Linked DNA regions of Oryctolagus cuniculus. The protein of the gene in region 3 interacts with the protein of the main gene of each other region in a biochemical or structural test. Links are inferred from orthologs where the notes say so. Each region holds a gene or a part of one and is shown on either strand. Other genes may lie near its edges.

The links.
Region 1: of the proteins of PTPRB (region 3) and MAPK3, one has a biochemical effect on the other in vitro, tested with the Homo sapiens proteins (2 studies listed by IntAct). The link is inferred for Oryctolagus cuniculus from reciprocal best matches to the Homo sapiens genes PTPRB and MAPK3.
Region 2: the proteins of PTPRB (region 3) and CNTN1 form a complex in vitro, tested with the Homo sapiens proteins (2 studies listed by BioGRID). The link is inferred for Oryctolagus cuniculus from reciprocal best matches to the Homo sapiens genes PTPRB and CNTN1.

The regions. Positions count from the first base shown.
Region 1 is NC_091450.1:7,469,072-7,472,603, forward strand, and holds the end of MAPK3 (mitogen-activated protein kinase 3), read right to left. Parts: intron 3,465-3,532; coding exon 3,275-3,464; intron 3,177-3,274; coding exon 3,060-3,176; intron 2,819-3,059; coding exon 2,704-2,818; intron 2,346-2,703; coding exon 2,214-2,345; intron 2,036-2,213; coding exon 1,926-2,035; intron 1,792-1,925; coding exon 1,669-1,791; 3' UTR 1,639-1,668; intron 1,072-1,638; 3' UTR 565-1,071; downstream 1-564. Other genes in the region: lysophospholipase D GDPD3, read right to left, coding at 1-156.
Region 2 is NC_091440.1:132,215,795-132,220,151, forward strand, and holds the start of CNTN1 (contactin-1), read left to right. Parts: upstream 1-1,452; 5' UTR 1,453-1,951; intron 1,952-4,357. UniProt on the Homo sapiens protein: Contactins mediate cell surface interactions during nervous system development.
Region 3 is NC_091442.1:73,094,090-73,097,733, forward strand, and holds part of PTPRB (receptor-type tyrosine-protein phosphatase beta), read right to left. Parts: intron 1,680-3,644; coding exon 1,410-1,679; intron 1-1,409. UniProt on the Homo sapiens protein: Plays an important role in blood vessel remodeling and angiogenesis. Not necessary for the initial formation of blood vessels, but is essential for their maintenance and remodeling. Can induce dephosphorylation of TEK/TIE2, CDH5/VE-cadherin and KDR/VEGFR-2.

The DNA.
Region 1 (3,532 bases), on a different chromosome or scaffold from region 3:
GGTGAACCAGCGAACCAGCGTAGGCTGGCTGAGCCCCGCGCCACGCCCCTGGGACTTGCTGAGCCTGCTGCTGGCCCTGGGCCAGGCTGCAGGGCTCAGCTGGGGCTGGGGGACAGACAGGAGGCAGCCAGGCAGCAGCCCTGACTCTGAACACATCCAGACGCTCCCTGGACCCCGACACCCCTCTGTCCTGGGCTGCCTGGGAGGAGTAACGCCCCCTCCCCGCAGGCTCCATGGGTGCTTGTGGCCAAGGTGTATAACACGCTCGCTCCCTGGCCATTTCCAGAGAAGCTGGGGGTGTATAGCGTACCCCTGAGTCACCCCCAGCCAGTTCCACAGGAAGTCATTACAGGGAAGAGGTTGGTGACTAAAGGGAAAACTGACACTCTCCCCTTTCCAGCAGTCTGGAACACTGCCCCCCCCCCCCCCAGTTTTCAACCCTGGCCAGCCTGGGGCCAAAGGTCACCAGGGCTGGGCCAGGAGTCTGCTGGGCTGGAGGGGGGTCGGTCCCAAGCAGCCCTGGCTGGGCCAAGGCAGGGGCGAACAGAAACACGGTCACGGTCATCATATACACATCTCTATATTTATATATTAGATACAGGCACGGGGGCGGGCGGGGGCGCCCCCACTCCCGCTCACCCACACACAGAAGCAGCGAGGACGTTAATGTGGCAGCTTTGGGGGGAGGGGCTGAGGCCGGGGTGGGGGGCCCTCTCCTCAGGGATACTAGCCCTTGAGACTCAGGAATGTTCCCCCAGGGAGATGGGGGGGGTAAGGGGGAGGGGGCAGGGTTTGCCCTGAGTCCCTGCTCAGTGTCCCCGCCCCGCCCCGCCCCTCCGGAGGTCCAGAAGGACCAGCCTGGGATAGCCAGGGTAGATGGAGGCAGAGCTGGGGGGAGATCTACTGTGGGGTCGCCCGAGGCCCTCAGGCCCTGGCAGGAGCAGGGGGGAGGGGGCTCTTGGCCTGTCTGAAGCAGGAGCGAGATGGGGCCAGGCCCACACTCCGCCCCAGCCGGGCACAGTGTCCGTTTTCTAACAGTCCGAGCGTAGAGGGGCAGGCAGCAGGCAGGCCCTAAGGGAAAAGGCAGACGGGGGAGGAGCTGTGAGACCCCACGGGGCCTCACGGCCCCCCAGCCCACGTCGGGTCTCCCTGGCCCCTCCACCAGCGGAGTGAGGACAGGGTCCTCTCCCAGGGTGAAGCTACAGGTGAATGAACCCGCGGAGGGCGTGGAGGGCTGGATCGGCCCTGGCTTGGAGAGCACAGCAGCCTCCAGGAAGTGGAAGTGCATGGGCGAGGCGGCTTGCACAATGGCAGCTCTGCGGCGTGGGTCGGCGTGGGTCTGGGTGGGCCCGCCGAGGCCCCCGGGTGTGGGAACGGCTGCCCTGAGTGGTGAGGAGGCACCTGGCTTGGGCCACCTGCTGCGGGGCCCCACCTGTCCATGTGGGCGAGCAGAAGTGTGGGTCAGCTGCCCACAGCGGGGACGGGGCCCCAGGGGCCGCTGTGGGTGCAGTGTAGACAGGTGGGGACTTAAGGGCCTGGGTGGGTCATGAGTCTGGGCACCTTTTGTCACCACCGTACAGGTGGATCAGGGACGCCAGGGCTGGCTCGCAGTCGGTGTGGGGTGAGAGGGCCACTCACCAGGCCCCGGGGACAGGGCTGCCGCGCAGGCTAGGGCCCCTCCGGAGCCCCCGGCTGGAAGCGGGCCGTCTCCTGGAAGATGAGCTCCTTCAGCCGCTCCTTGGGTAGATCATCCAACTCCATGTCGAAGGTGAAGGGCTCCTCGGCCACCGGCTACACAGGCAGAGACAGGAGGGCTCTCGGGCCAGGCCCCGGAAACGCCCACGCCCCCAGGCCCCGGAGACGCCCACACCCCCAGACGGCCCCCCACCACCACCCCACCACCGCTGCCGCCGCCGCCACGGCACCTCGTCCGTCGGGTCATAGTACTGTTCCAGGTAGGGGTGAGCCAGGGCCTCCTCCACAGTGATGCGCTTGTTGGGGTTGAAGGTCAACATCCGATCCAGCAGGTCCAGGGCTGGCAGAGGGCGGGAGTCAGGGCTCACGGAGAAGGCGGAGGGGGGAGGGGCTCCCGGAAGGGGAGGCTCCCTTTGCTTTTCGGCACCCAGGGCCCCGTCCACACAGGCAGGTGCCCGGATCGTGAGCCCCCGTCCCCACTCAAGGTTTATCCTCCCTGGGCGTGGCGTCTCACTCACCTTTGGAGTCTGACTTGGGAAACAGCTTGGCCCAGGCCACCTTGGTCTTGGCAGGCAGGGACTGCAGGTAGTTCCGGGCCTTCATGTTGATGATGCAGTTCAGGTCCTCCTGGGACGGCGAGCCCAGGATGCCTGGGCAGAAGGAAGGCAGGCGACTTGGTGAGACCTCGCCTTCCTCCTCCGTCCTGGGATACAGAGGCAAAGAAGCCCAGACAAGCACCCCCAGCCCAGCCACCTGCCTCACAGTGAGAAGGACAAGGGGTCTGGACCCAGGCAGCCTGGGTTCAAATCCTGGCCCTAGCACTTCTTTAGGTGTGACGGCTCTCGGCCTTGCTTTTCCCATCCACCAAATGGGGATAGTTGTCTCTGCTCACGGAGATGCTGGGAGATGCTGGAGAAGTTCCACAAGTGGTGGTACCCCTGACTCTGACTCTGACCCTGACCCTGAGCCTGAGCCTGAGCCTCCCCCGGGTGGGTCAGGCCCCCTCACCTAGAATGTGGTTGAGCTGGTCCAGGTAGTGCTTGCCAGGGAAGATGGGCCGGTTGGAGAGCATCTCGGCCAGGATGCAGCCCACAGACCAGATGTCGATGGACTTAGTATAGCCCTGGGGATGACAGGAAAACAGTGCTGCACTCCCGAGCCAGCCTCGGCAGGGCCCTGCGGCCTGGGCCAAGCCACCGCTTCCAACCGAGATCCGGGGCAGAGGCCTGGAGAGCCGGTGCTCAGCTTCCTTCCAGAGGCCACGTTGCAGAGGGTGGACTTCCAGAGCCTCGCTCAGGGAGGGTGGCTCCAGGGCCGCCCTGGGGGCCTGAGGCTTTCCCTTCCGGGCTGCCAGGCTTGCCTACCTTGGAGTTGAGCATGATCTCTGGGGCCCGGTACCAGCGCGTGGCCACGTACTCCGTCAGGAAGCCGGTGTGGTCATGTTCAGGGTCTGCAATGCGGGCCAGGCCGAAATCACAGATCTGCAATGAAACCCAGGCTGCTGAACGCAGGGCTCGGGGCCCCTGCAGGCCCGAGCACTCCCACTCCTCCCACAGCTTCGCCGCGGCCAGCCGCGGACCTTAAGGTCGCAGGTGGTGTTGATGAGCAGGTTGGAGGGCTTCAGGTCCCGGTGGAGCACGTTGGCCGAGTGGATGTACTTGAGACCCCGCAGGATCTGGTAGAGGAAGTAGCAGATGTGGTCGTTGCTTAGTTGCTGGCTTTTGAGCAACTTGTACAGGTCTGTCTCCATGAGGTCCTGCACGATGTAGCTGGGAACGGCCCGAGACCCCGCCCCTCCCCCAGGCAGGGGGCAGGGGGCAGGGGGAGGCACGCAGTT
Region 2 (4,357 bases), on a different chromosome or scaffold from region 3:
ACACACACTGTTATTGTTGCCTACCTTTGTTTTGGAAGGGACACATTTCTTTGTCTACTTTGATTTCCACAAGTGTGAAGTGGCCAGAATGGTGATTTTTCTGCTTACGTAAGAACATGGGGGCTTGTATCAGAAAGATTTGGAAAACGAAAGTGCTCTGTTGCAGGTATTTTGATTTATTTATATAAATATGAATGTAGGTATTCCAGGAACAGATGCACAACCTGGCATCCGAGATAATAACAAATAACAAAAGACCCAGAAACAGTCTGTTTTACCTAAAAATATGTGAAGTGCCTGATCAAGAGAGAAATTATCCTATTACTACTCCCAAGTTGTGTGTGTGCACACAGAGCGGCTAATTAGATCAATAAATACACAAAGTAATATAGTCTGCTTGAAAAACAAAGTTTGTGCTGCAGGAGAGCTTGCACATCTCATTTATCACTATACTTATCACAGTGACATTTGCTTTAGGAATGAGTAAGAATGAAAGGGGGCTGAAAAGGGGCTGGCATCATGGCCTGTCGGGTGAAGCCGCAGCCTGCCAGCCAGCGTCCCATATGGGGGTCCTTTGGGGTCCTGGCAGCTCCACTTTCGCTCCAGCTCCCTGCTCATGTGCCTGGGAAAGCAGCAGAAGATGGCCCAAGTCCTTGGGCCCTTGGATCAGCTCCTGGCTCCTGGCCCCAGCCTCCCCCAGCCCTGGCTGTTGTGGCCAATTGGGGAGTGAACCATCAGATGGAAGACCTCTCTCTCTCTGCCTCTCTTCTCTCTGTGTAACTCTGACATTCAAATAAATAAATAAATCTTTAAAAAAAGAAAAAATGCATCTTAAATAAAAGAATGCATGGACACAGCAGACTTCTTTAGTATCCTTTTCCAATTTCATTTCCTGTGGTCTCGATGCTGTTTTTTGATATGCTACCTCCTCTGCTTAAAGCTTAAGGTTGGGGTGCCAGATCTCCATGTGACTCAAAATAATGCATGTTTAGGACTGAAAGATGGTGCTGAAAAGCCACTTTCCCTACTGCTGTCTTAACTCGCAACTAGGCCCCCGAATCCCACGCTGGTGTCGGGCCGTAACCGCACAGGTGTAAGCATTTGGCGGGAACGTGACTCAGTGAGTGTCCCGCGGGTTCTCGCCGCACAGATCCACTCTGCATCACCTCCAGGCCCCCTCCCCATGTGCATGGAACGAGAAATGTGTCGTGCACCTGCTAGTTGTTTTTTTTTTTTTTTTTCCCATACCCTGCATCTCCTCGGCGTCTTTGAGCTCTCCCTGTGCTCTCAGAGGAGCGAGAGCTGCCCCAAGCCGGCCACACCTGTGCAGCCCTCACGCGTGCTCGCGCGCCCCGCGCGGCGGACTGCGGCGGGAGACCCCGCCTGCGGGCAGGAGGGAGGCGCACGCACCCGCGCACGGGCGGTCCCACCTGGCCGAGGCCCCGTCGCCCTGCGTCCCGCAGACGCGCGTGGGCTTATTCGAGAAATTTCGGTCCTCTGGCCGCGCCGCGACACGTGGGCCCGCACTTCCCCCCGCCTCCCCCGCCCGTAGCTTCGAGGACGCCCGGCTCCGCGGTCCTCTGGGGGCCTGGCCGGAGGCCTGACCCCTCCCTGGGACGCCGAGGCTGCAGCTTTGGCTTCCAAGCACCGCACCGACCCTTCCTGCGCCGCTGGGTGTAAGCCGCCACCCTGGTCCGCAGCAAACACGGCCCCGGCGCTGAGAGTGATACCACCGCCGTCCAATCAGAAAGGAGCGTTTCGCTCCCGGCCCCGCCCCGCGCTGCCCACGGGACCAATAGGCGTGCAGGGAGGCGGGGCTCGAGCTGTCAAGTGGCCCGGGTGGGCTCGGCCGCGCCAGGAGGGGCGCCGGTGCGGGGATGCGCGCCCAGGTGCTCACCGTCGCCGCCGACGGGGGAAAGCTGTAGGGTCGCGCCGGGCTGCGGTGGAGCAGGTAGGGGCCCGGCGTGTCCCTCGCGGCAGGTGGAACAGAGGCTGCGTGGTCCGCGGCACCCCCAAACCTGCGGTTTCGCAGCTCTGGTGGTGCGGGACGGAGGCCAGGCCGGGCTGCGGGGACGGGCGGCGGCGGCGGCAGCGGCAGCGGCGCCCCGGGGGACCACGGCCGCGGGGCGCCGGCGTGTGCGTGGGCCGGAGCGCGGGTCCGCAGCCGCCCGCAGCCTGCACAGCCCGGTCCGGCCGCGGCAGGGGGCGACGCGGCCTGTGAGCCCCCGGGGCGCGGGCACTGGCGGCCGGTCGGGCTTTTTCCCCGTGGACCGGGCTGGGCGGCGGCGGCCGCGCACGCCGGGAAGACCGCCTCACCTGTGTCTACACCCGGGGCTTCGTGCGGGATGCTGCGGGGCCTGCGCACGGCTGTCTGCAGCTGCTGCGCGTCCAGCCCCGCGGCCCCCGCGCGGTGGCTGAGCCAGCCCGACCTTGCGGGCAGCGCTCTGGGGAAGAGGCCTCGGGCGGACGCGTTTCCGTCACGCACGCAGCGGTCTGTGCGCGCCCGCGCGCTGGCCGGCGCCGTGGGGACCTGAGCAGCCCGGGGTGTGGGCTCCGCGCGGGGCCGCCTCCGTAGGCTCTGCGGGCCCGGCGGCTCGCCCGCACCTTCGTGGTTTCCTAGCGGGCGGATGGGGCGGCGCTGCGGGGCCTGGGGACGGATCTGCTTTCCGGGGTGCGGGTTCCCTCCCCCAAAGCCCACTGCAGCCACGGCGGCACCAGGCTGAAGCCAGGAGCCGGGCGCGCAGTCCTGGCCCGCGCTGGGGGAGGCGGGGACCCAGGTCTGAGCTCAAGGGCTGTCTGCACTGGCTGGGAGCTGGGGTCAGGAGTGCACCCTGGCCCCAGGCCTGTGGGTTCCCCAGGTGCTGCCTTCTCCCCTCTGCCCTCCTCCAGGGCGGTGATGAATTTCATTGTACCGATTTTGTTTCTGGGCTTGATATTTAAATGTGGGCTGCTGACTCACCTGTCTGTATCCTGTGGACTTCGTAGATGTTTCTGCATGGATTTTTCTCGTGATCCGGAGTTTTTATTGGTGTTGATAGCATCTCTATTTTTTTTTTTTTTTTAAGATTTATTTGATTGGCAGAGTGAGAGACAGAGAAAGAGCGATAAAAAGAGGTCTTCCATCTGGTTCACTCCCCAGGCGGCTGCAGTGGCTGGAACTGGACTGATCTGAAGCCAGGAGCCAGGAGCTTCTTCCTGGTCTCCCATGCTGGTGCAGGGGCCCAAGGACTTGGGGTTGTCTGGATGGGATGCAGGCACTGCAGGCAGAAGCTTAACCCACTGCACCTCTGCACTGGCCCCAACATTTCCTTAGAGGAGAAAAATAAGGTTTGGAGGACACACGTGATGTGCTTAAAGGCCTACCCTACGGTGTGTTCCTGCTGCGAGGCACTTGGCTTTCAAATGGGGTAATTGTTAGCTGGCCCAGTGTTCAGTCATGGTAACAGTGTGCAGTGTTGGTACCAGTAACAGTGTAAGTCACACTATTCAGTTACAGCTTTCCATGTGTAAAATTCAGTTCTAAGATGGTTAGATCACAATTTAACTTGTCAGGTTATCTGGAATATGAGTGGTTTAATCTGCCAAGCTAACCATCACAGGTATTGGGAGCTTGCTTTTAATTTTGAATCTTCAACTTGGTGATGATCTGATTTGGGGCAAGTTAATGAACCTGTTAGAGTTTCCTTTTTTTTTTTTTTTTTTTTTGACAGGCAGAGTGGACAGTGAGAGACAGACAGAGAGAAAGGTCTTCCTTTGCTGTTGGTTCACCCTCCAATGGCCGCCACGGCCGGCGCGCTGCGGCTGGCGCACCGCACTGATCCGATGGCAGGAGCCAGGTGCTTCTCCTGGTCTCCCATGGGGTGCAGGGCCCAAGGACGTGGGCCATCCTTCACTGCATTCCCTGACCACAGCAGAGAGCTGGCCTGGAAGAGGGGCAACCGGGACAGAATCCGGTGCCCCGATCGGGACGAGAATCCGGTGTGCCGGCACCACTAGGTGGAGGATTAGCCTATTGAGTCGCGGCGCTGGCCTTTTTTTTTTTTTTTTTTTTAAAGGCAGAGTGGACAGTGAGACAGAGAGAGAAAGATCTTCCTTTGCCATTGGTTCACCCTCCAATGGCTGGCGCACTGTGGCCGGCGCACCACGCTGATCCGATGGCAGGAGCCAGGTGCTTCTCCTGGTCTCCCATGGGGTGCAGGGCCTAAGCACTTGGGCCATCCTCCACTGCACTCCCTGGCCACAGCAGAGAGCTGGCCTGGAAGAGGGGCAACCCGGACAGAATCTGGTACCCTGACCAGGACTAGAACCCGGTGTGCCGGCGCTGCTAGGCGGAGGATTAGCCTAGTGAGCCGCGGCG
Region 3 (3,644 bases):
CTTTGCAAGTCATTGAGATATCTGACTCAATATAGAACTAGACCCTGTAGAAGTCTCGTCGATTCTTCCTCTTCCTGCTTCTTATTTCAATTAATTACATCACCTTCTACCAGATACCCCGGATGGAAACTGAAATCCTTACCTCTATTGATCATCTGCTCAGCCTCCAAGTGCCACCTTATCTAATGCAGAAATATTTCTTGAATATACACACTGTTCTTCATTAGGGCCCCACAGTAGTTCGGCTTTTGACGCTTATCATCCTCTGACTGTTGTCGCCTTGCTCTCTCTGTCCCAGCCACACAGGCCTCTGGCCCCTTCCTCTAGCAACAGCCCACCTGGAGTCTTTGCCTTGCAGTTGGTCTGCTTGCAGGTACTCTTCCCCAAGTATTTGCATGACTGTCTCTATCACTTCTTGCAGAATTTTACTCAGTTATCACCTTTTCAAGGAGCTCCTTAAAGACTGTACTACCTTAAATGGTAAGTCCCCAACACTTGCTGTCCTGCTTTAATTTTTACCCTGGTATTTGTTACTGTCTACCTGCTGTATCTTTCACTTATTTTGTTTATTGCCTTTTTACACTACTAGTAGCTAAGCTTCATGACCACAGAAGTTTGTTTTATTCATTTTGGTCAGTCTGGCTTCTAGAACAGTGGCTAGATTATAGTAGGTATTCAGTAATGAATGATTGAGTCTGATTCTTTCTCTGTTCAATCTGTTATCCACTGCCATCTGATTTGAGAAGCAGAGAGAGAGTGGGAGTGCATTCCCCCTTACTGGTTCACTCCCTGAATGCCCGCAATGGCTAGAGCAGGGCCAGGCTGAAGCCAGGTGCTGGGAACTCAACCCTCGTCTTCCACATGGGTAGCAGAGACCCAATTACTTGAGCCATCACTGCCAGTTCCCAAGGTGTGCACTAACAGAAAGCTGGAATCAATGAGAAGAGCCGGGATTCAAATCCAGGCTCTCTGATAGGGGATGCTGGCACCTTAATCGTTAGGCCAAATGCCTACTGCTGTGTTTTATCTTCTTGAAGGCACACGTTTTTATTAAAAAAAGTTTACTCTGTGGCTGAAAAATTTTTATAGCCTCCTCAATGTGTATTAAAAAAAAAAAAAAAAAAAGGAAATTACACTCCTGAGGAAGGCCCTCGGCCCCAGTCCAACTTGCTGGACTCACTTTTCCATCATGTCGCACACACTACAGCTGCCCACAAGTTCTGGTTGTTTCTTCTCGCACCTCATGGCCTTTGTACAGGCTAGTCTGTTGGCATAGAGTGTTCTACCTTCTCTCTATATGGAGAGTTGCTTATAACAGCTCTCAACATTGTTCATGCCCCTTACCCTACAGTTCTTACACAATAGTAGACAGAGATATTTAGTAGAAAACATCAATTTGTGTTAATTACCTGTTCGGCCTTCAGTTTGGGCTTCCTTGCTAAAGAGTCCTCCACTCACAGTTAGGATCTGTATCTTGTATTTCTTGCCGGGTGTCAGATCTTCAAATTTGTGCTGCTTGGCGCTGGCTGGCTCGGACATGTTGCTCAGAAGAGCTCCGTTCTCATTCAGAAGCAGGATATCATATCTCTCTGCCACACCAACAGCTTTTTGCCAACTTATTATTAAGGAATCACTGCTGTATGCATTGGTTGCGGTGATTCTCTGGACAGTTGCTGGAACTGCAGAAACAAGAGAAGCCATACAATTCAGATTCTGTCACTTAGGGCAAAGCAACCGATGTAGAACGTTCCCAAGTCAACTGCTGATCACGGACAATGCCTTTGCTTTATGTGTGTGGCACTGACATATAAAGAGAAAGTATTTCTTGGCTTGAATTCTCTGAATAGCTAGTTTGATTTTCCATTTCCTCTCTGAATTTAGACAGGATCTTAAAGTCAAGCAGGTGGAAAAGTTAGTGTAAAAGATGTTGATAAATATGGAACAGTGTCTATAATGGATGAATATTGAACACATTTACATACAACAAATGTAGCTTAGATGCTTGGAGCATGTCTTTTGTTTTCATTTTTATTCCCAACATCAACTCCAGTAAAAATTTTAATTCTTGACATAAGCAGTAATATTCTCATAATAAGGGTACAGTTGTCCCTTGGCATCTGTGGGGCACTAATTCTGGGTCCCCCTTGGACATAAAAAAAATCCCAGGATGCTCAAGTCATGGTGTAGTATTTGCAGAAACTATGCCCATCCTCCCATATACTTTAAATCATCACTAGGTTACTTACAATATCCAATACAATATAAATACCATGTAAATAGTTGTTACACTACATTCTTTAGAAAATAGTGCCAAGGGGCCAGCATCGTGGCATAGCACGTTGGGCTTCTGCCTCATATGCAGGCATCCCACATGGGCACTGGTTTGGCACCTGGCTGCTCTACTTCTGATCCAGCTCCCTGCTAGTGAGCCTGGGAAAGCAGCAGAGGGTATCCTAAGTCCTTGAGCCCCTGCACCCATGGAGGAGACCAAGATGAGTCTTGGGGCTCCTGGCTTCAGCTTGGCCTACCCCTGGCCTTTGGGACCATTTGGGAAGTGAAACAGTGAATGGAAGATTGCTCTCTTTCCTTCACTTTCTCTAATGCTGCCTTTCCAATAAAAAATAACATCTTAAACTGTTGAAATCTATTTTATAAAGAAGAAAATAGTGACAGGAAGAGAAAGCTGTACATGCTTAATACAGATGCAAATTTTTTCCCCTGAATATTTTCAAGCTGTGAGTAGTTGAATGCATGGATGTGGATCCCCCAAATAGAGTGGGCTAAAAGTATTTGTACTATATGGCCCCTGATGTAAAAGGCAAAGTAGAATTATTTGTTAATAAAATATTTCTGATCTGAGATTTGTTTCCTCCCAATCTCCTTAATCTGTTCTATATAATCTCCTTAGGAGATTTCATATCCTCTGCTGGTTTGGATTGCCATCCACACAGTGATAACTCCTAAATTTAAACTTGCAGCTCAGCGCATTCTCCTGTCTTTGCAAATTACATTCTCCCTGGATGTTCTCCAGTCACCCAATACTCACCTCCCTTTCTGAATCTCCTCATTGTCTGTTGTTCCTAAGTTTTGGTCCAGGTAAAAACAGAAACAAAAACACGTAGTTTGCCACTCTGCTCCTTTTACATATATATCCAAACACAAATATCTTGTCTCTTCAATTCAGCTACTCTCTCCTTCTTCACTGCCGCAACTTAAGACAAAATCATTTCTTGTATCCATGATTGCCACAGTCTCTTGACAAGCTCCCTGGTTTCTTTTCCTCTCCATGTGTCAAACTCCACCCTGTATCTATGTATTCTCACAGCACTCCCATGTCGGCGGCCCTTAAGTGGCTCTCGGCAATTCTCAGACACCTTGCCAGACGTGGGGCCTCTGCATGACTTAGTCTATCTGCTTGGCTGGCCACAGGGTGTGCGTTCTCTACGCTAGCATAGTATGTAGCATGTAGGTCATGAGATGCGTCCTGCTGCTTTTCACTTCCAGGCTTTTGTTTTTCCTATTGGCACCAAGAAAGTTTACATTTCACCTCAAAGATGTCTCAGTCTCTGTTTAAACCTTACTTCCTCCTGGAAGCCTTTCTGACTCTTGTTTGTTTGCTGCCATAACGTCTCATAATGACTTTT